3 linked regions of the Astyanax mexicanus genome follow. The protein of the gene in region 2 interacts with the protein of the main gene of each other region in a pairwise test. Links are inferred from orthologs where the notes say so. Each region holds a gene or a part of one and is shown on either strand. Other genes may lie near its edges.

Region 1 (6,972 bases), on a different chromosome or scaffold from region 2:
GCTGCTGTTGATGTTGTTGTTGATGGTGGTGGTGGTGATGATGGTGAAGGTGATGATGGTGTTGGTGGTGGCGCGATTGCGGAGACTGTGCCAGCAAGCCCTGCTCCGAAGACGCACTTCCGCTACTGCCGGAACTCCCAGCGCTACCCATGCTGGTGGAGCGGCTAAGGGTGGGCGGCCTGGTGGCTACGGGCCGCGCCTCGTAGTTGTTGTTCACATTGACGAGGATAACCTCGTGAGTCCTCTCGTGTTTGTCACTGACACGGGGTGCCGGGGCGGGAGGCCGGCGTGCCGCCACTGCGGGACCCTCTGTGTACTCGTTAGACGAGCGGATGGCTCGGATCTGCTCCAAGGAGAGGATGGCCCCGGCTGGAAGGTCCAGGTCCAGACGTTCCCCGGGCGCCGGCGGCTCCCGGATCACCGCCACTGATCCGGCGACTCCGCGGTGACCGCGACGATCCATCTGACCTGATCAGCGACTCCCTGCGCAAGCACGGACTCTAGTCTCATCGGACGACCTGTCGGGAAAAGAGAGGGAGAGAAAGAAAGAAAAAGGGAGAGAGATGAGTACAAAAGCTCCAAAGTTCCAAAGTTTATAAAAAAAAGCAGAAAAGCTGAAAAGTCTATACAGTTTAAGAAAATCAACACTGGTTTATGACCTTAAAGAATTAATTGATTTAATGTTACATTAAATTACAGAACAATAAGATGTAAGTTAACAGCAGAATTTCACAGCTCTAGATTGATCAAAGTCTATGAAAGACTGTGACCGTCTGAGAGACTAAGATTAAGCCTCTGAGCCATTAGGTGTTAGACTCTTCAGGTGTGAATCAAATGGATGGTTTCCTACAGTCGTTCACACTTCTCGATTCCCGACTCGCACCTATTCACCAGCTTAACCTCTTCTATACCTTCTATACCTTTGTGTCTCTACTGTCATGCAAAACCCCCGTATCTCCATATTTGACATTCTGCATTTTATTTAGGCTATGTAAATCTGCCACTGATTTTTACATCAATGAAAACAAATCGAATTATAAGAAACTTTTTCTGGCTGTAAAAACCGTTGCTGTTTGGAGATTTAAAGATCAACATGGGATAAATCCACCTACTTTGATAAACATTTTTTTGATAAACTGAGAATATTTTGTACATTAATAGACACTTCTGCAAATCTGATTAGAAGCAAACTAAAGCAAACTGGGTTAATCCATGGGACAAACTGGACTAAACTCTAAAATAAATAAAATCCTCTTATATTATTGTCTTGCTGACTTTGACTAACTTTTTTGCTCAGACTATGGCTTTTCCCTAAATATATTACATTGATAATAAAAGTAATTTACACATTGTCAGCTATGTTGGGAAGCGCAATATATACCAATATATACAATCTTCAGCAGCAGGCTGTTCATGCACATTAATAACACATTAGTAACTCTATTTTACAACAAAAGACTATTATTTATCACGTTTTTGCCAATAGATATTTAGTTAAAGCAAAACTTCAAAGCACTAAACTAAAAAAACATGCTTAAACAAGCCAAAACACTTCTCTCCATATCCAGAATTAACACTTCGCACAATTTTTGCACCTTTTAAAAAGCGCAAATGAAAGAAAAAAACACACACAATGCAACTTAACTTACGCAAAACTTAAAACTTAACTTACGCACCCCCCCCCCCCCCCCCCCGCCACTGCAGGTCGAGGACGAGTCCAAGAGGAAGCGAGGGGAGGAGGGGGGGTAACTTATGAATGAAAACAAGCCCTGTGGGGGGAGGGGTGGGTATTTGGTAGTTACCGCGCGAGGAGGGGTAGTAGAGGGGGGGTAACAGAACTCTGTAGGCTCTAGTCAACCTAGCCTCGAGCCCTCGAGATCGCGTGCATGCATGTGCACTACACAGAATACACACTAACGTTACTCTTTCTAGTGCACACTACTTTTAACGAATAACGAATTGCTAAAAACATTTTTCCCTTGTTTTCGGACAGTTCTGCGTTATAAGCAGCGACGGGAGGGAGTATAGTATAGTGTGTATTCGAGTGCACATGCATTGTGCATTGCAAGCTCGAGGCTACGCACGCACGAGCGTCTGTGAGCTGAGATTCAGATTCAGTTTGCGCACAGACGTTGTTGCGTTGCGCCTTTTATTATTTTTTCGGTGCAACTACAGCAACTGAAGCAACCCAGTAACAAACCCCCCCTTCCCCTTCTCTCTTTCCTCCCTAGAAATGCGTAAACAGGGCACGCGCGTGCATGCACGCGCACGCACGGTCTAAAAAAGACCCTACAAGGGACGTGTTAGTTAGCTAGTTACTTAGTTAGTAGTTAAAATAGTGAAGCACGAGCAGCAGCTACGCACCTACACGCGCTCCTCCGCAGCTCTGACGCCATCAGCCAGTGCGGCTCGCGTGCGTCTCCCAGAATCACGCAGGAAATCTCACGGCGCGCGCGCTGTGTGTCTGGACACTATACATCCATATACAAAAACAGGGGCTCGCGGTACTCCAAGTCCAGTCTTTTCGGTGTGATCCAGGGAAATGACGTTAAATCCAGGAAAACTGATGATAGTAGCGTTCAAAAATATGTATATATAGATATATTCGCAAATATTATCGTTAAAATAAATATTAATAAAAATAACAACAACAATAATAATTGCAGTGATAGTGTCCTTTAGCACGCGCTGCACAGCCGCAAGGAAATCCCAGTTTTAGTCCAAGCACGAGCGCGCAGACGTTAAAAAATAAAAAAAATGTAAAAATGAATTAATAAAACCAAAAAAAATACAACAGAAATCCCTCGTATGTCCTCTCGCGCTCCGTATGAGCCTCGCAGCTGAACGTCACGCGTAAATCCGGGTACTGCGGGTTGTAGTCCGTCCGTTTCGCACGGTAACTTTTTTTTCGTAGCTACGCTTCGTGTTTTGGTGTTTTCGCGTTTTCGCTGTTTTCTCTTCTCCTGCGCGCGTGAAAGATCGCTCGCGCTCTCTCCGCTCCGCGGTAATGAATGGGAGCGCAGCTCCGCCTCGCGCTCTGAAACCGGACACGGCGCATCCGCTCCGCGCCGATTGGCCACGGGCTGCGGGCGGGGCGAGGCGGGGCGGGGTTTAAGGTGGACCGGCGTTAATAACGTGCAGCGGAGCGGCTGATCTTTTACACCCTGCAGATCACTGATCAAACCACTGATTAACAAACTGTTCATCAATACTGATCAGTATTAATCAGCCCTACATAGGAAACTATGTTGAATTAATGTATGCAAAAGCTTCACAAGGTGTGCACTTAATATTTTTATTTTTATATCATTACTGTTATTATTGTCACTTTGCATATAAGTGTGTAACTTTGTTAAACCGAAATAAACTAAACTAAATTGAAATAAACGTTAATTTTTACATCCATAATGCTGATCTCTGCCATCAGAACTGATGTATTTGTGCAAATTGATTCAACATTGATTTTACTCTATGGTTTTATATGTACTTTTTATAATTAACTGCACTTTTTAATTAAATATACATCTTGTTTCTTATAGATTATAGTACTGTGTTACTGCAGTGCAGAATTAGACAATTAAATAATAGTAATGTCTTATAAATATAATACTTACCTACTTAATTACTATTATTATCATTATTTTTAGTATTTAAGAGAATCACCTTTTACCCAAAAGCATTAATGTGAGTGTAGAAGAACTCCAACCACTATTTAAACTAGTTTAAACTAATGAATGCTGATTAAATGTCAGAATTTTAACACTAATTATAGCCAGTGTCTTTTATTAAATACAGGCAATTCTAACAATCAGTACTGATAACACTAACTGTAGATCATAACTGATATTATCATAACGAATCCATTCAGATTAATACTAATCTTTTTTATCACTATTCATTCACTTTAGCATGCATATTTACTACTGATCAATACTGATCTCTATTACTACTACTGATAAGTTTATGTCAGTAATAACTAGTGTACTTCTGCACCACTGATCAATACGGATTAATATCAGCGTCTACATTCAGTTTATAGACACTACTGAACTATCGTTACTGATCAATACTGATCTCTATTATCTAGACTAATCAATTATACAGTCTGTCTGATCAGCACTGATCAATACTTCTTCTGATAGTTTCTAATCAGGACGCGGGGTTAATCCTGCAGGCGAGCTGTGAGCTGTGTGTGTGTGTATGTGTGTTAAGGGGGGGTTAAACCCATTGTAAACATGCACGCGCGGCTCCACCTTAAGAAGCGCGAGGAGCCCCCGTGCCCCACAATCTGACCGCGCGGATGCGCCACATCCGGCTCCTGCTGAAAAAGGGGAAGTTCAGCACAGAGTCAGGAGGGGGAGGGGCCACCAGTACAGGCCTGCAGTTATATATAGATATACACCTCTACCTTTATATATATACACCTACTGTATATACACCTCTACTGGTATATACTCACCTACTGTTATATATTTCCCTACTGTATATACACCAAATACTTATATATATACACCTCTACTGTTATATACTTTTATATAAACGTCTACTTTTAGACATACACCTACTGTTATATACTCCTATTATATAAATAGCAGTACTCATATATACATCTACTGATATATATATATATGCACCTACTGTTATATACTCTTCTACTTTTATATATACACCCCTACTGTTATATATACACCAATATTCTTATATACCCCTAGTGTTATATACACCTCTATTGTTATATACACCAATACTCTTATATATACAACTATTGTCATATAAAACTCTACTTTTATATATAATCCTACTGTTATATAAACCTCTACTACATATACCCCTGTTGTTATATACACCAATAGTCTTTCACTTACTAGTCTCTTACCTATTCTCTTAAATTGGATATATCCAGGTGGTCCTGTCTATACTGTATATAGACAAATATATATATACATTATACATATATCTGTATGTTTAATCTGTCATTACAGCACATGCTATGCTAATTGCACTAGCTGATACTTTTATTTTAAGCTTTTTTTTTGCTCTTTTTTCAGTTTTAGTTTTACAGTGTTTGTTTTTAATCAGCTGTATATTTATGCTCTGAGGAGAAGTTCTGCTTTGTGTGTCTCTCAGGATCAGAGCCGGCAATAAATTAATAAAGCTGAAAAGTGCACGGCTATAAAACTCCCAATTTGTGATCAAATAAAACTTTTTATGGAGCCCGTAATTCATCGGAGGCCGGATGAGTTCTGCAGGTCCAAGATCCATTTCCTCCGAGTAAACAATTTAACAACAGCACAGGACGGGAGGAGGAGGGGGGGGGGGGGGGGTGTTTATTTAATCTGCTGACGTGGGACGCTGGTACAGACCAACACAGACAATAAAGAAGCTCCATTTATTATCAGTTAATCAGTTCAGATCCTACAGGGGGTAGAAGAGTCTTTATACTGGGGGGCGCTGGCCCCCTCGGCCCCCCCGTCAGCAGAAGGGCCGGGTGCCGTGATGCTGCTGCTGGTAGGAGATGTAGGTCTGAATGAGGGATTCTGGGACTCGTGGTTTAATAGCAGACAGGGCGGAGTCAAAGTGCCGGTCGGTGATGTGCTCGGCTTTAATGTCCTCCTGAAGGGCGAAGAGTGCAGCTTCACGACACACTGCAGTTATCTGATAAACAGAGAGAGAGACAGAGAGAGAGACAGAGAGAGACAGAGAGAGAGAGAGTATTTATTTATCATTCGTGGATCTTAGATATTATACGATCTTTATACATAATAATACTTACAGTAAGAGTAAATACTCAAAATACAGAAAAAATTACAAATCAAAACAGAACAAAACATTTATCAATATTTATAATTTGTTCAAAATCTTTTATGATGTGTTTTTAAAAGATGTTGGCAGCAATCCTTATTTATATAATCATATTAAATACATTACATATAATGTCAACTTTATAGGAATGGAATATTAGCCCCCACAGTGCTGAATGTAGAAATATCTGATCCCCACATTGTAAAATCTGAGGATATTCAGTCCCCACAATGTTAAGTTTAGACACATTCAGTCCCCACAGTGTCGAAATGTAAGAATACCCAGTCCTCATAATATTCAGTTTAGGTATATTCAGTCCCCACAATGTTGAAATCAGGGATTTTTAGTACCTACAATGTCATACAGGAATATTAAATCACCACAAAGTCAGATTTAGGTATATTCAGTCCACACAACATTAAAATGTAGGTATATTCGGTACCACAGTAAAAAAGAAAGTTCGAATATTAGTCCCCAAAATGTCAAATTATGCCTGTATTAAAGTTAGGGATAGTTAGTCTCCAAAATTTCAAAATGTAGGAATTGTCATCAATCCTGATCAAAATTTATGAATATTTATTCCCCTACAAGGTCAAGTTTAGAAATATTCAGTCCTTACAATGTCAAAATCTAGGGATATTTAGTCTCTACAATCATATTTAAGAACATTTGGTCCCAATAATGTCAAAACATATGGCTTTTTAATCCCTGAAAAATGTTAACCCACTCTGGGATCAGTTTTAAGGAACATTTTTGGACTCTGGTTTTATTTGGACACTGAAGAACGATCCTTTATCTACACTGGACACCCATAAAGATTCCACCTGTTACCTGTTTACGCTCTCAAGCAAAACTCCAGGCAGAATAAGAGTCCTGGATGAGCGTAATCACCCTGAAATATTTCATGAATGCTTTTCATAATTTGACCAATAATGCTGTATAGTTTGCTGTGGGTAAATATGTCAGCCACATGACTAATCACAGAGACCTGCAGGCCTGCAGCTCAGCGGAACACGCCGTCTTATTCCACTGATCAGAACGCAGATGCAGTGGCATGGCACCATGCCCCGACCACAAATTAGCACAGCCTTCAGTTTTTTTTAAAGATTACACACCCACCTGTGTGCTAAAATATTTCCAGTAATTACAGGTAACTATTTTTACACCACA
Region 2 (7,071 bases):
AGCTTACAACAACACAAAACACTGAATGGTCAAAAGTTAAAAAAAATAGTGCATTATCGCGGCTCATACCGGTGGGCATGTCCAGTTATGTTGACGCACTCTAACTGCTACAAAGTTTGTGGCCAGAGTCATGGTTGTCAACATCATCATCATCATCTTTTTCCCATCAATAGAAAATAATATTGAGGCCTTTAGCCTGAAGAATAGTGGTCAGCAGATGTGGAGGCAGGAGATGGAGTTGAAGGTGCAGAAAGAGACTTTTCGGACATATCCTCCGCCTTTTCTGGACCATCTCCTGGTTCAGACACAGTCTTGGGCATCAGACCCTCTTTTTCGCGTTTCTTCTGCTTCATGCGACGGTTCTGAAACCAAATCTTCACCTGAGTCTCGTTCAGCTGGAGAGCGGCAGCTATCTCCACACGCCTGGCACGGGTTAAGTACTTGTTGAAGTGGAACTCTTTCTCCAGCTCTGTTAGTTGTTTTGTGGTAAAATTGGTGCGAACGGTGTTGGGCTGCCCACCGTAACCGTACTCTCCTACTTTACCTGAGAAATAAACAGAATGAAGGTCATTAAACACACAATTTACACATTACTGGAGTATAAATGAGATTTTTAATTTACTGCATTGAGTTTTCAGTCTTTTATGAAGCAGAAGTAAGAAGTTGTTGTGTTGATTTGCAAAAGTAGTCTTTCAAAATAAGTATTTAAGATGTAGGCAAAGCCAATTAGACTGACTTATTGTGACAAATTGTATTTTAGAAAAATGTAGCAGTTTCAAAGTAAAGGTAAAAAAAAAAACTTAGATATTTGAAGACTTTAGTGCTCCTCACAGAACTTTTAGAAACATTATTACACCAATTATTTAATATTCAAGAGCAGGATATCTGACACACAGTTTTATGACAGTATAAAGATAAACATTTGATTGGAGAGGTATGTTTTTTAAAATATTTTATTTTGTTCAGGGACACATAAATCTCTGTAAGGCAAAAAAAAGAGTTATATTTGCAATAACAATTAATGGACCTAAATATCTCTTAAAAACTTCAGTGCCTCTAAAAAGCTGCTTCACAAAGTTTTTTTTTTTTTTTTTTAACAAGATGGTTAGGAATGAGGTTCTTGATTAAACTGTTTTACAGTAGTTTAAAAATAAAGTTTTTTGAGCAAAATCATTTTATATTTTTTAATTATTGAATGGCTTAAAGACACATAATGCAAACCAAAACCCCTCTATTATAATGACAATACAAATGCCTTATAATCAGCAAGACCCCTGATCAAGAACTCTACAACTTCATCTTAAGCCATCCTAAAACGAATGTTTAAAGTTAAAGTTAAACTTTTAAATGAAAAGCTTTTTTAAAAAGATGAACCCCTTTCCCCCCAGACCTGTTTTTATGTACCTGTTTTTGGGGGGTTCCTCTTAACCTTCATCCAGTCAAAGGTCTGCGCCGTGGACAAGCCGTCTGACAGAGGTGAACAGCACGTATCGTGGTGGCCATGCAGAGGAGATAGGTGGTTTGAGCATCCCCCCACGAAGGTCAGATTTGCCTGATCCTGACCATGACCGTAGGCTGCGGCTGCGTACTGAAGTTGCCCGTGATGTAGGTGCGCGTTGCTACCGCTGTAGCCATGGCGATGATGATGAGGATGATGAGGATGGTGAGGATGGTGGTGGTGGTGCTGCACAATGTTTCCAGAGTAGACCAGGGGGCCGCACTGAGCGAACCCACCAGTCGTATCAGCGTCCTGGTTCAGGGGGTAGGGATTATAACCGGCGCAAAAACTTTGGCTCCCGTAGGACGGGTGCGCACCGTAAGCGATTGACAGGGTCCCGGAGGACTGGTAGGACCCAGCCTGATTCGGATGACTGGATACGGTGTCCGGTGATGCCCTGTCGGACAAGAACCGCTCGTTTCCAGAGCAGTTGTTCACCGTGACCGAGCACGACTGGAAAGTTGTAATTCCGTGATCTGTGTGAAAAGCTCTAACGGAGCACGAGCCCCCGCCACCTCCGTCCCCGCCGCTCATCACGGAGTAATCTAGGAACGTGCTCATTCTGGCATCTTCCTGACCGGACTCTCTAGGCGGTCTGACACCACCAGACCTTCAATCAGCGCGCGTTTGGAGAGTACCGCGCGAGGCTGATATGAATGAACACTGACAGTCACGTGAGCCGGGTCAGCCAGTGACCAGTGGCTTTGTTGGGTCTTGAGCTTGAGTGGCCTCGCGCTGACAGATAGTCGTTAAAGAGTAAGCTTATGTAAATTCCGACCTCTTGTCGATCAATGACGTCAGCGCACCGATTGGGTCCTACTCGTAGGAACAATTGATGGAACAGCAGAGCGCAGGAGTGGAGGAACTAAGGTGCACGGATGCTGAGGAGCGATGGGCGTGAGAGAAACGTGTGTGAAGTATCCGACACTTGAACCATCAGGTAGGACAAGTTCGAGACCAATGGAATACGTGATTTTGCAAGGTCAGAAATCAAAAGTCTAGGACCACACAAATAGCGGTAAAACGTAAATCGTTTGACTTCTATATTTACAAACGCGTTTTTACTGGTCCCTGGATGTAAGCAAGGTTTGTTCATTCCCGGAATTAAACACACCTTCCTAACCTGACAAGTGACTAAAATCAATAGTGTTTGAGCCGGCAAGCCGTATGCAAGACCGGACCAGAGTTTAGCTTCTCTAATTAGTGCATGGCTGTATCCGTGATAAATGCTAAACATTTGATTCACTCTGTAGATCTGCAGAACATGTCTTAAATATATAACCATTGCTTGAAAAAAAAGAGTAGAGTGTGTGTGAAGAGCATTGAAAAGATTGGCAAAAAAGCTTTACTTTCAGCCAAGGCTCTTTAAACCTTTAAAACAAACAACAATAAATAATACAAATAACAAAATATTATATTAGGTAAGAACTGTAAGAATTGATCTATCACCTTTATGTGCAGGTTATTTTAACATTACAAAGATTTTTCACATAGAATTTAAGTGTTTATTTGCTGATTAGCTTCTATAAACACATTAGCTACTTTCCACATTCTGTTCTAACAATGAACACTTTTAATTTTGAAAGCGCTAAAAATGGTACTTTAAAAAAGTGATAACATTGTTTGTAATAGAAACATGAAGAATATTTTTCTAAAATATTTTTTTGCAGACATTAAAAAGTTCCTCTATGACAGACATAGAGGTGAGTCAAACTAACTGTATGACAGAATCTGTGAAAGCAACTTTTTTTCAAAGTTGCAAGGACATTTACATAAAAGATTCACAATAATTTAAATATCCTCCCTTGTATATTAACAAAATCTAAAGATTCCTCCACTCCACTGAAGGGTTCTTTAGGGAAACAAATGTGATTATTCTATGGCATAGCTCAAACAGCCTATTGTAGCAGCTTTATTTTTAATACTGCACAGCATGAAAATGATAAACTAATTATTATTTGTTTATGCCAGCCTGCAGTGTGGCATTTTCATTACCTGCCTATGATAATTTGATAAGGGTGAAAGTTAATTTAATGAACCCCAGAGTTCCAGCGTTATTAATAGGCACTGCAGTTCCCTGGTGGAGAACAATATTAATCCTAATTTGACCTTAAGTGTTTCCAAGAAATGAATGGCCTTGTCTAGTCCTTAAGTTTTCCTTGTAGTTGGATTTAAAATAATTCACACACAAATATTAAGAGTTAAATACCTGCTTAATATGTTTATTAGTTTATTGTAATGTTTCTTGGATGGCCAAAACACAAAACACAGATAAGCAGTGAAAGTGAGAAAGTGTGTAAGGAGTGAGGGTCAGCGCCCCCTCTGGCTGGAGGAGAAATAGCGCCTGTTTTGTTTTTCGTGTATTTTTTTCTTCATTCAAAATGGCGCTGAGTGTTGAGCAGGATTTCTCATCTCCTCCTCTAACTTCTCACATCCTGCCCCCTCCCACCCCCACCCAGAGGGAGAGAGAGAGGAAGAAAGAGAGGGAGAAAGAGAGAGAGATTTCTCCCACGCAGAAACGCTTGTTCTTCTTTGTGAAAAGGCTGAAGAAAGCTGGAAGTGACATGAACATGTGTATGTGTACGATCGGGGAAAAAAAACTCTTCCCATGATTTGTTAGAGAGGATTTGGTGAATGAATATTTCACACTCACACAGGGATATATGCCTGTATTCACATATATTATAAATATTGGTGTAAAAAATTAATAGGCCTTCGACGCTCCGGTGGGATTATTTATATAACTTACTGTATATGTTTAAGCGTTTATATATATCTTGGCTAAGACAAAAAAACGATATGTCTAATATGTAAAATTAAACACATAGAATAGAATTTTCTTTTCTCAGTTTCAATATTATTATTATTCATTTATTTGTATTTTTTGGTGGTAGTAGTATCAGCATAGTGGTCTCAAAAATGCACAATAATAATAATAATAATAATAATAATAAATATAATAATAATAATAATAATAATAATAATAATAATAATAATAATCATTGCCCAACTACTACGACTAATTAATAATAAAATGTTACTACTAATTGATAATAAAATTAGCCATACAATTAGCCATAATAATATAATAGTATAACAATAATTGGACACAGACATGTCCCAACAACTTGACCCATAGTTGTATAATGTACTTAAATAGCATTAATGTTTCTAATGTCATGACACAACACCGTAAAGGCCAGAAAACCCACTTCCACTTCCAGAGTTGAAATGAATGACTTGTCCATGCGCTATAAAAACGCCTCTTACGGAGGTTATGTACACTGGCCTTACGCCTGGTGTTAAAACGGCAATAAAAATGAATTATTACCGATCGTCCCTGCAGGGTTTTCTCTGCGCCCCAAAACAGTCTCAAACAATCTCAAAATAAGAGAGAGGGAGACGCGACTGGGCTTTTATTTGCGCGGACGTCACTACCATTGTCTCGTGCTGTCAGGGTGTATGAAAGACTTTGATTTATGAGTTGGCAGAGAACGAAACATCCCAGGCATTTCCCCACGCGGAGCCTGGAGCAGAGCCCCAAACAAAGAGCACAGGTCCAGAAAAAAAATCAGCCATGTTGGGGTTTTACAGCATAGAGGAAGAAAGTTTGTAAATTTGATAGATGGTGTAACTGTAAACCTCCTAGCACGCGCTACACGAGAACATGAGTACTTACTTCTTTTGGAGTGGCTGTGCTTATCGGTGCTTATCAGACAAGAGAACCAAACTAATGTGTTTATAAGCATATTTATCAAATCTATTAAAGTTAGAGTATGAGAGTAACTATTTTATTTCTCCCTTTCTTATTATATTCTTATTACATGTTTCGTGCGATTTTATTTATTTAGTTTCTTTGAGTTATATTATTTTATTTCAAGTCTGCAAACTGTTTTGTTTGTTTAGCAGTAGACCAGCAAGGCTGCAACTTTTAAATCACCAATTAATCTAACAATCTAGCCCGTTTACAGGTTTTTTTTTTTGTTCAGTTCAGTAAATAATATCTTAATGTGTTTTCTCAATTTTTCCACCACTGGCTTTATTAATATTTTGAAAGAGAAGTGCATTTTCATAATACTGTTACTACTTTAGCAATGCTATTATTTTAATGGACAAAGATGTGTAATACAATGTGGTGTATCTGTGCAGTTTGCATTTAAAAAAGCTGTATTACATTTTTTTTACCAAATTGTAACTATGACACATTTTTATAAACAAGCACATTTTTATTCTAACAAAAATATCTGTTACAAAAATAAAAACAGTCGAATCCATCTTTAGCTAAAACCTATTCATTGGTTCGTTTGTGCGTTACTGCATACAGTCTATGATACACAGCATTCTATGCACAGAGAATCTTACCTTTAACCATTTAATGTTAACCTATCAGGAAGATGTGCCCATCTGACAAATAAGCGATAACAACATATCCTTTAGATGAAGAGCACATCATTCCAGTGTCGCAGTTCTCAATAGTTCAGATGCTGCAGATCGATTGTACTTAAAGCGTCCGTGAAAAAGCAGAAGTTATCCGTGGATAGATGCTCTGGGGTGCTCAGACACTCGGACAGTGTCGGCGAAGCGGCGTCGGACAGATGTAAGCACGAATCCGCAGAGAAACCGTGGAAGTCCTTCAGAGACACGTCCAGAGTCAGCGGGGAGCTGCAGTTGTCCGGGCTGGAGGAGGGCGGTCTGTGGCCCGATAGCGTGGGTGAGGGGCTGGAGACGTGTTTGTGGGCTGGAGACGTGTCCAGGTCGTTAAGACCGAGGGGCGACATGGAGAAGTTGTGAAGCTGCTGAGAAACTGAAGATGACTCCGGTTGAAAGGAACGCAGATCTTTATCCGGGAGGGCCCTCGACTCCTGACCGAGGCTAGGCTCGAACACAGAGGTCTCTTCATCGCTCTGCGCACCACTGTCCTCCTCAGCCGCTGTGTTCCTCAGCTTTTCCTGACCGTCCTTGGTCTGGGTCTGCCGCTTGTGTTTCATACGACGGTTCTGAAACCACACCTTGACTTGACGCTCGGTCAGGTCCAGTAAAGCTGCTATCTCCACGCGGCGCGGCCGGCACAAGTACTTGTTGAAGTGAAACTCCTTCTCCAGCTCCAGAAGCTGCGTGTTTGTGTATGCAGTCCTCAGCCGGCGAGAGCCTCCTCCTCCCCCTGCTTCTCCTCCACCGCTCGCCAAACCAACCTCGGTAGGAAGCTCGGGTGAACCTGGAGCACATAGAACAGAGTGAACATATGAAAAGGAAAAACAGCAGTGTAGCCGAGAGATAAAAATCACGCAAGAATCAGGCCTATCTCTGGAGGTGGCCGTAGTGTTGTTGGCTAAGTCACCGTGGTGCACTCTGCACAATCCCCATAAAACAAGATTACGAGTATAAAACAAGGGATCTGGCAGGACTTTGCAGCTCATAAATTGCAGTGCTAAGCTATGTGGCGCGTGCTCCCCTCCACTCACAGTGGATCTAATGAATGCACGAGCAGTCCCACGCTGGACAACAGTAATCCATCATTCTTCATTGCTGTCAGATATGTATATAAATAAAAAGTCTCGACTGTAGGATGTTGG
Region 3 (7,498 bases), on a different chromosome or scaffold from region 2:
ATGATGATATTAGAATAATATATAAGACCAATTGGTACTTTTGGCAGTGTGGGCACTGCGCCAAGTCCTGCTGGAAAATGAAAGCTACCTTCTACCTTTCACTGGTGGTCACTCACCCGTTTGCTGAGGCAGATAACCGGCCACAGGCTGAAGCCCAGGGTACAGCAGCAGCATAGACAGCCGCACAGCAACCACCGCACGTTCACCGGCAACGTCTTCCGCAGGCAGCCGTTCACTCGGTTTATGCTGGCTTTGAACTCCTCAGGTGCTACCTGCGTATAAATACAGAGCTCAACCAATCAGAAACAGTTTTTTTTTTTTTTTGTATTTTAAAGCAGTTTGTAAAACTGTTAAAATTACTATTAAAATATCGACAAATTTGGTGCCAGAAGTGCGTTTCTGTAGTTTTACACCAAAGCTACAAGGCTAATGTAGCAAACAAGCAATAGGAGTTCACACTAGGGGTGGGCAATATGACCCGAATTCAATATCGCAAAATTTCAGGGTACTTTTGCAACATCGATATACTTTGTTTAAAAAAAAAAAAAATCTAATTTCAAGAATAAAGAGAAAAAGTTTTATTGAGTATAAATAACTATAAAAAAAATATATAAACATCTAAACATCCATTTCCTAAACTTACCAAGACTCTTATTATGTAGAAAATAATATTACTGTAACAAAACAAAGGTGAATAAATGAAAAAAGTAATGTAACAACACAAAACCTACAAAAAACTAAAGTGCATCATATTTAGTGCATGTATTTAAACTGCAACCAAACAATTAAAAGTAGTGTTTTTATTGTGTCATTTTTCCGCAATACTACTGTGTATTATTCAATATGGCACACCCCTAGTTGACAATGCTCAACATGGCATCTATCTACAGTTCCACAACTATGATTTTTACGCTGTGAGTGGAGTAGTAAGCAAACACGCCCTATGATGTGGAGATCAGAGCAGGCACAGTAGCCAGAACAGGCCAAATAAATCACACATTTTGTGCATTATTGAGCCAAAAAGCTACAAACTATGAATATAGATTTTATTTAATTTTAATACATTTCGAATGTGCTTTAAAAAGTATTTTTTTAAGTTACAGTGATGGTTAAACACTGTACACACAATGCATGTTTCGGTCGAGGTAAAAGCTTCCATTGCTTGTTAGCTGCATTAGCCTCAAAACTCATTGTTTGGTAGCTGCATTTGTAGGTACAGAAGCTGTGCCTAATTGATTTGTTGAACAATCACTTCAAGAAGAGCAGTGACTAACAGGAGTAAACGTGACCGAAGATACACTCACCTTTCCCGTAAGTGCTGAAGGAAATTCTGACTCAAATTTATTGCTGAGTCCAAACCTGAGGGTGATTAAAAACAAAACTCAGTATTAATTTTTGCCTGGGTTTCTATTGTTCTCATACACTTAATAGTTTTTTTATCACAGTGTTGGAGTCTTAAAACCTCAGCTTTAGATTCACCCCACCACCTTTACCTGCAATAATGAAAGTGACCTAGATCAAGACAGTAAGTTAGGCCAATGATGTAAGTTTAGGGTATTGGCCATTGGTTTCCTCTCCACCAACTGGCTTGCTACTTACTACTAAGCTCCTGTCATTCTCAATGGGTTCAATTGGTCAATAAAGTAGCCAGAAGACCAGATTATGTTTCAACAGCCATACAGTGAACAGAAGAGCTTTAAAATCAATTCTAGAAGAAAAAAACAAACTTGGGAGATGCTCCATCCACTGGCTAGCTACTTCAGAACCTTCACTGTGATCTACCTGCCGTTCTCAGTGGGTTCAATTAGTCTGTGAGGCAATCAGAGGACTCGGTTACATTTTGACTGCCATAGAACGACAAAAACAGCTTTAAAATCAATTCTAGAAACTCCAGTGACATTTTTTTGGGATACAAGTTTCCAGAAACTTGTCCATTTGATTTGATTTAAAGATTGTTGTGTTCTTCCTGCCATTTTTAAATGGTTTAGTTAGTCACTAAGGCGGTCAGGGGACTGGATTACATTTTGAGAGCCATAAAACATCAAGAACAGCTTTAAAATAAATTCTAGAGGATAAAACTGTGATCTTCCTACCATTCATCGGTTCAATTAGTCATGGATTAAGTTCCAACAGCCGTAAAAGAAATCGAACAGCTTTAAAATCAATTTTAAAAGAAAAAAAATAATTCAAGCAATCCTCCACTAAATGTAACCATAAAACGACCAGAACAGCTTTAAAATCAATCCTAGAAGAAAAAAACAAGGTTAGGAGATTCTACATCAACTGGATTCCTACTTCAGAACAATCACTGTGATCTTCAAATAGTCAGTGGACTGGATTCTGTTTCGAAAGCCATAAAACAACAAGAACAGCTTTAAAATCAATTTTAGAAGATAAAACTAAGCTCTGGAACGCCTTTACCAAGTGGCTTCCTACTTTAGAACCCTCACTCTGATCTTCCAGCTATTCTCAATAGGTTCATTGGGTCAGAGAGGTGGTGAATGGACTGGGTTAAGTTTCTAAAGCTTTATTAAATCAGTTTAAAACTCATTTTAGTGCACTGGAGCTGCACTAGGCTGGTCAGATCCTCCACCGCTCGGCCTGCTGGGTCAGTAGGGCAGATCGGCCGGGACGCGGAGGTCTCAGGGGGGCTGTTTGATCGGTTTAATGGGGGTCTTACACGGTGACCCGGCCCGATCCCCGGACCAGGACCGGCTCCGGGGCGTATTTGAGAAGCTGCTCCTCCGCGGCCCGCTGCTCGTCCTCCTCCTCTTCCTCCTCTTCTTCTTCCTCCTCCTCGTAGATCTCATCAAAGTCCTCCATCATCGCCGCCTCGGCCCCGGGGGAGCGGAGATCGGGGGCCGGGGGAGCTCCAGAGCCCGCTCACCGCCTCCTCCCGCCGCTTTATTAACTAAAATCAGCCTAAAACTCCTCCGGTATCGCTCTTATTATTATCACCGCCGCCGCCGCCGCGAGCCCAGCCACAACAACATCAACATCCGCCTCAGATCCCGCCGCTTATCGCGAGACTTCCGCCCGGGAGTGGGACGTCAGAGCCGGTGTCCTATCGAGTTGCGCTACCCGTCGAAACGTGCTACTTAGAGGCTCTGCGCATGCGTTGGTTCTCATTTTTTATTAGTATTATTATTTTTAAAATTATTTTCACGTGTTTTAGTACTATTTTGTTTACTGTGTTTAATTTTTTAAATTTATTTTATTTATTATATTAAATTTATATAAATAAATGTATATAATTTAAATATATATTTACTGTTTTCACGTGTTTTTCCTCAAAATATGCTTTTATTTATTTATTTAAATTAATATTTTTAATTAAAATGTTTTTTTTTTTACTATTTTTTCACGCGTTTTTCATGATAATTATGTTGAGTGCATTATACAATTTGAGCTCAATAAATTTTTTTTGCTTGAGTGAGATATGTTTTACAACCGTGTAAAAAATATAATAATAATAATAATTATTATTATATATAATATATAATTATATATAATATATAATATATATATATATATATATATTATATATATAATAATAATAATTATCAGCTGAAGCACCAAAACACAGTCCGACTGTTCTAACAGTAAAGATAAAATGCTGTAATCAATGAAACGTGCTTAGCCTTGCAGACTAAAAATTTAAATAATTGTTAGAATGAAAAAAAAAAAACATTATGACAACCTATTAAAGAAATCTGAAAAAAGTTCATTATGAGACCTTTGTTATATAGGGCAAATTCTTAGTGCGCCTGCTGGACAAGAAAAGCCACTGCTGAACATTTATTCATGTTAGTTTAGGTGAGTTTTATTGATTTACACATAAGAGATGTTAAATTCAATGCAATTATTATAAATTTAGTCTACAATCGTATTATTGAATCATTAACACTGACCTTAACTAAGGCAAGTGAGAGCTGCAGTACTTTAAATATTGTTCTGGGTTCTTTTGTGACCTCCTGGATGAGTTGTCCATGCCCTTTTGGAATAATGTCAGTAGGCCAGTCACTCCTGGGAAATTTCACCATTTTTTTCTATTTGTGAATAATAGCTCTCACTGTGATATGCTGAAATCCCAAAGCTTTAGAAATGACTTTGTAACCTTTTTTCAGACTGATAGATGATCAATGACTTTGAAATATTTTATCTGCTTCATGTTGTCAGACAGGTTCTATTTAAGTGATTTCTTGATTCTACAGGTCTGATAATAATCAGGTCTGGTTGTGGTTAGTAGTGAAATTGAACGCAGCTTTGTGATAAAAAAAAAAAGTGTGATAAATCACAGTTAACTCATATTTAATGATTAAAAAATAACCAAAAAATGAAACACATGAAGCATTTAACCAACTTTTATTTTGAACTCAGAAACACAGATCCAAAAAAGGCTACACACACACACTCAAAATCCAACCCCCTTCCAATGAATTCCTTCAGCTACTTAAAAGTTGCACCCATTGCTAATATAGATGTGTAAATGCACACACAGCTTGTGTATTCCTTGGTGATACATCCAGGACATAACAGTGACACTTCAAAATGTAGTAGAAAGCCTTGGGATTTCTGGACAGTAGAGACAGTTGCTTTATCAAAAGCAAGATCAGGATGAACTCTTTTTAAAAGCCTTGATTTAAACAGAAGCAAGAAATTAGAACATGTCCCGATACTTTTGTCGTTCAGTAACAGCATTAACACTCTGTACTGACTGTAGATCTCTGTTCACTCCTCCCATGAATCTCCATACTTGTTCTTCTTCACTGCAGAGAAAAAGAGCAGAAATCGAACCCATAAGTTCTGAGTACTAAGGAAATTAGCCTCATAGCTTCAGTGCTAATATGTGTTTTTGTCTCAGATGAGCAAAAATGTTCAAATTTTAGAAAGCAAATCGTGTCACGATGGGGTGTCACGATTTTCACTAGATGGCATTACATATATATCTTAATTAAATTATTTAAATTTGACCATTAGTGCCTAATGTGGTGTATTACAGATCACTTGTATCACTTTGCATCACTTATATCAAGCCCAACTTTTTGAAATAAGATATTGTAAATTTGATGAATCAAACCAATGACTGACCATAGACTAATCTAAAAGTGGCATAGGCCTCTCTGCTGTAAAAAAAAAAGAAAAAAGAAAATCGAGAATCGAATCGAATCGTGACCCTAAAATAAAACCCGGAAATAAAATCGAATCGAGGATTTAGAGAATCGTGACACCCCTAGTATATTTGCCTTGTGTGTGTGTGTGTGAGATTACCCTTTGAGGGAGGGCGGTCTGAGGATTGTGTATTCTGGCTTTTTGTCCGAGTGTTGGACTGGAACACACTCTCAGGCTGGGGCTCATTCTTATTCAGCACCGACTGACTAAGTAAAAAGCTGAACACACACACACACATTATTTACGTTAGTACATTTTTTTACATTAATGAGCCAAAACATTATGATGAATGCTGATGATATTGTGGTAACAGTGCTGCATGTGAAGAGCTAGGATCTCTGTTAGACATGTTGGACGCACGCAGTAATGCATAATTTGTTTTAATGCAAATTAATTAATTAAGTTTGACCCCAACTTCCGCCGCAATCAGTCACTTTCTAGGAATTGTAACGAGGGTGCGTAATTTAGAAACATTTCTCTCTCTCGCTCAATTTTGTTGTTTTAGCATGAGCGCTCGTCTTATTTTCGCATCATTTATCTGTGTTTTGGTATTTATAGGTTTATGTTTGAGTAAAATGAACATTATTGTTTTATTCTATAAACTACGGACAACATTTCTTCCAAATTCCAAATCTTGTCATTTAGAGCATTTATTTACAGAAAATGAGAAATCAATATTTGGTGGAATAACCCTGGTTGGTTTTTAATGACAGTTTTTAATCATGCATCTTGGCATCATGTTCTCCTTCTCCACCAGTCTTACACACTGCTTTTGAATAACTTTATACCTGCACTCCTGGTGCAAAAATTCAAGCAGTTCGTTCAGCTTGGTTTGTTGGCTTGTGAAAATCTATCTTCCTTTGATTATATTCCAGAGATTTTCAATTATGTAAAATAAAAAAAATAAAAAAACATACATTTTAAGCAGTCTCTTATTTTTTAATAGAACTGTACAAGTAAACACTATTTTTTTTATTGGCTATAAAAACGCTAAAAACTCGCGTCTTTAAAAGAACAAGAGTGATTAATCTCAGTTAATAACAGAATAGTGTTGTGATTAATCTGAAGTTTTTTTAATCAATTGACACCACTACTTTTTTGAGTTCTTCTAAGATGCATAAACTGTACAATAATGTTATGCTGTGTGTGTGTGTGTGTGTGTGTGTGTGTGTGTGTGTACTCACGTATGCGGCTGCCTTAAAGATTTTCCAATCGGTGAATCCCTCAAATTCATAAACTTCTCCTTACAGGCATTCAAGTAGGAGTACTGTCCCACAATGTAGCTCACTGCACCAAAAACTGACACACACACACACACACACACACACACAGCATAAAATTATTGTACAGTTTATACACCTAAGAACTAAAAAGTAGTGGTGTTAAACAATTAAAAAACTTCACTCCTGTCATTCCTGGTGCAAAATCTCAAGCAGTTGTGATCATCCATCTACTTCTTGATTATATTCCAGAGGTTTTCAAGTTGGTACAATTAAAGAAACTCAACATTTTTAGGTGGTCTCTTATTTATTTCCAGAGCTGTATAATAACTAATATGGCTGATCTGAGATATTTACTATTGCAGCTAATGTATGTAAGATGTCACAATGTAATCAACTTCAGAGGAGATAATACTCACGCATTATTTCTGGCACTAATCCAACTCGTGAGGATGCAAACCGGGATCCTATCAGAAACACAAGCCAGATTTACATTTGCAGTGATGTATACCCATTGTATGTTCACTACGACATCGGTAGTGATCAGTAGAGAACAGTAATCAGTAGGGGTGTCACGATTTCGATATTTCATAGAAATTGATCAAAATTATGTCATGGTCTCGAGCCTCAAAGTCAAAAAGATAATCGACGATCCCTCCCTCTAAGCTACACAAATGGCGCAGCACACTGTAGCCGACGCCGCGGACATTGTGACTGCTCAAAGAGCAGCCCTGTCTCCAGAGAATGTGAACATTCTCATCTTCTTAAAGAAAAACTTGAAAATATAAATATTGTCTAGCCTCAAATGTGTTAATAGTTTTGGTACCTTAAGGATCATCTTTCTCTCAGATAAAGTTAATAATATATCTTTATTAAAGAAAAATACTTGTCATTCTCAGGGACCGAAAAAGTCTTATATTTCATGTTTAACTAGGATAGAGTTCAGTTTGTTAAAGCTCTAATTGTTCTATTATTTTGTACATTTCCTGTCTTTTTATATTACTTATTTTGTTATGTTGCACATTGCTGTTTTAGTAGTGCACACTGCTGCTACCAAAAAAAACACTAGATGGCATTACACTTATATCTTAATTAAATTATTTAAA

What was found. The genes of interacting proteins can lie anywhere in the genome.
Region 1: the proteins of hoxa1a (region 2) and spry1 interact in binary tests that used the Homo sapiens proteins (3 or more experiments, as listed by UniProt). The two-hybrid records come from large-scale screens. The link is inferred for Astyanax mexicanus from reciprocal best matches to the Homo sapiens genes HOXA1 and SPRY1.
Region 3: the proteins of hoxa1a (region 2) and chic2 interact in binary tests that used the Homo sapiens proteins (3 or more experiments, as listed by UniProt). The two-hybrid records come from large-scale screens. The link is inferred for Astyanax mexicanus from reciprocal best matches to the Homo sapiens genes HOXA1 and CHIC2.

What each region holds. Positions count from the first base shown.
Region 1 is NC_064426.1:1,107,198-1,114,169, forward strand, and holds the start of spry1 (protein sprouty homolog 1), read right to left. Parts: upstream 3,022-6,972; 5' UTR 2,365-3,021; intron 519-2,364; 5' UTR 464-518; coding exon 1-463. UniProt on the Homo sapiens protein: Inhibits fibroblast growth factor (FGF)-induced retinal lens fiber differentiation, probably by inhibiting FGF-mediated phosphorylation of ERK1/2. Inhibits TGFB-induced epithelial-to-mesenchymal transition in lens epithelial cells.
Region 2 is NC_064410.1:62,517,558-62,524,628, forward strand, and holds the start of hoxa1a (homeobox protein Hox-A1a), read right to left. Parts: upstream 3,025-7,071; 5' UTR 2,060-3,024; coding exon 1,405-2,059; intron 545-1,404; coding exon 192-544; 3' UTR 1-191. Other genes in the region: homeobox protein Hox-A2a, read right to left, coding at 5,968-6,713. UniProt on the Homo sapiens protein: Sequence-specific transcription factor. Regulates multiple developmental processes including brainstem, inner and outer ear, abducens nerve and cardiovascular development and morphogenesis as well as cognition and behavior.
Region 3 is NC_064432.1:5,911,014-5,918,511, reverse strand, and holds the start of chic2 (cysteine-rich hydrophobic domain-containing protein 2), read right to left. Parts: upstream 3,022-7,498; 5' UTR 2,827-3,021; coding exon 2,681-2,826; intron 1,360-2,680; coding exon 1,305-1,359; intron 273-1,304; coding exon 117-272; intron 1-116. Other genes in the region: OCIA domain-containing protein 1, read right to left, coding at 4,732-4,769, 5,272-5,390, 6,357-6,471, 6,812-6,859.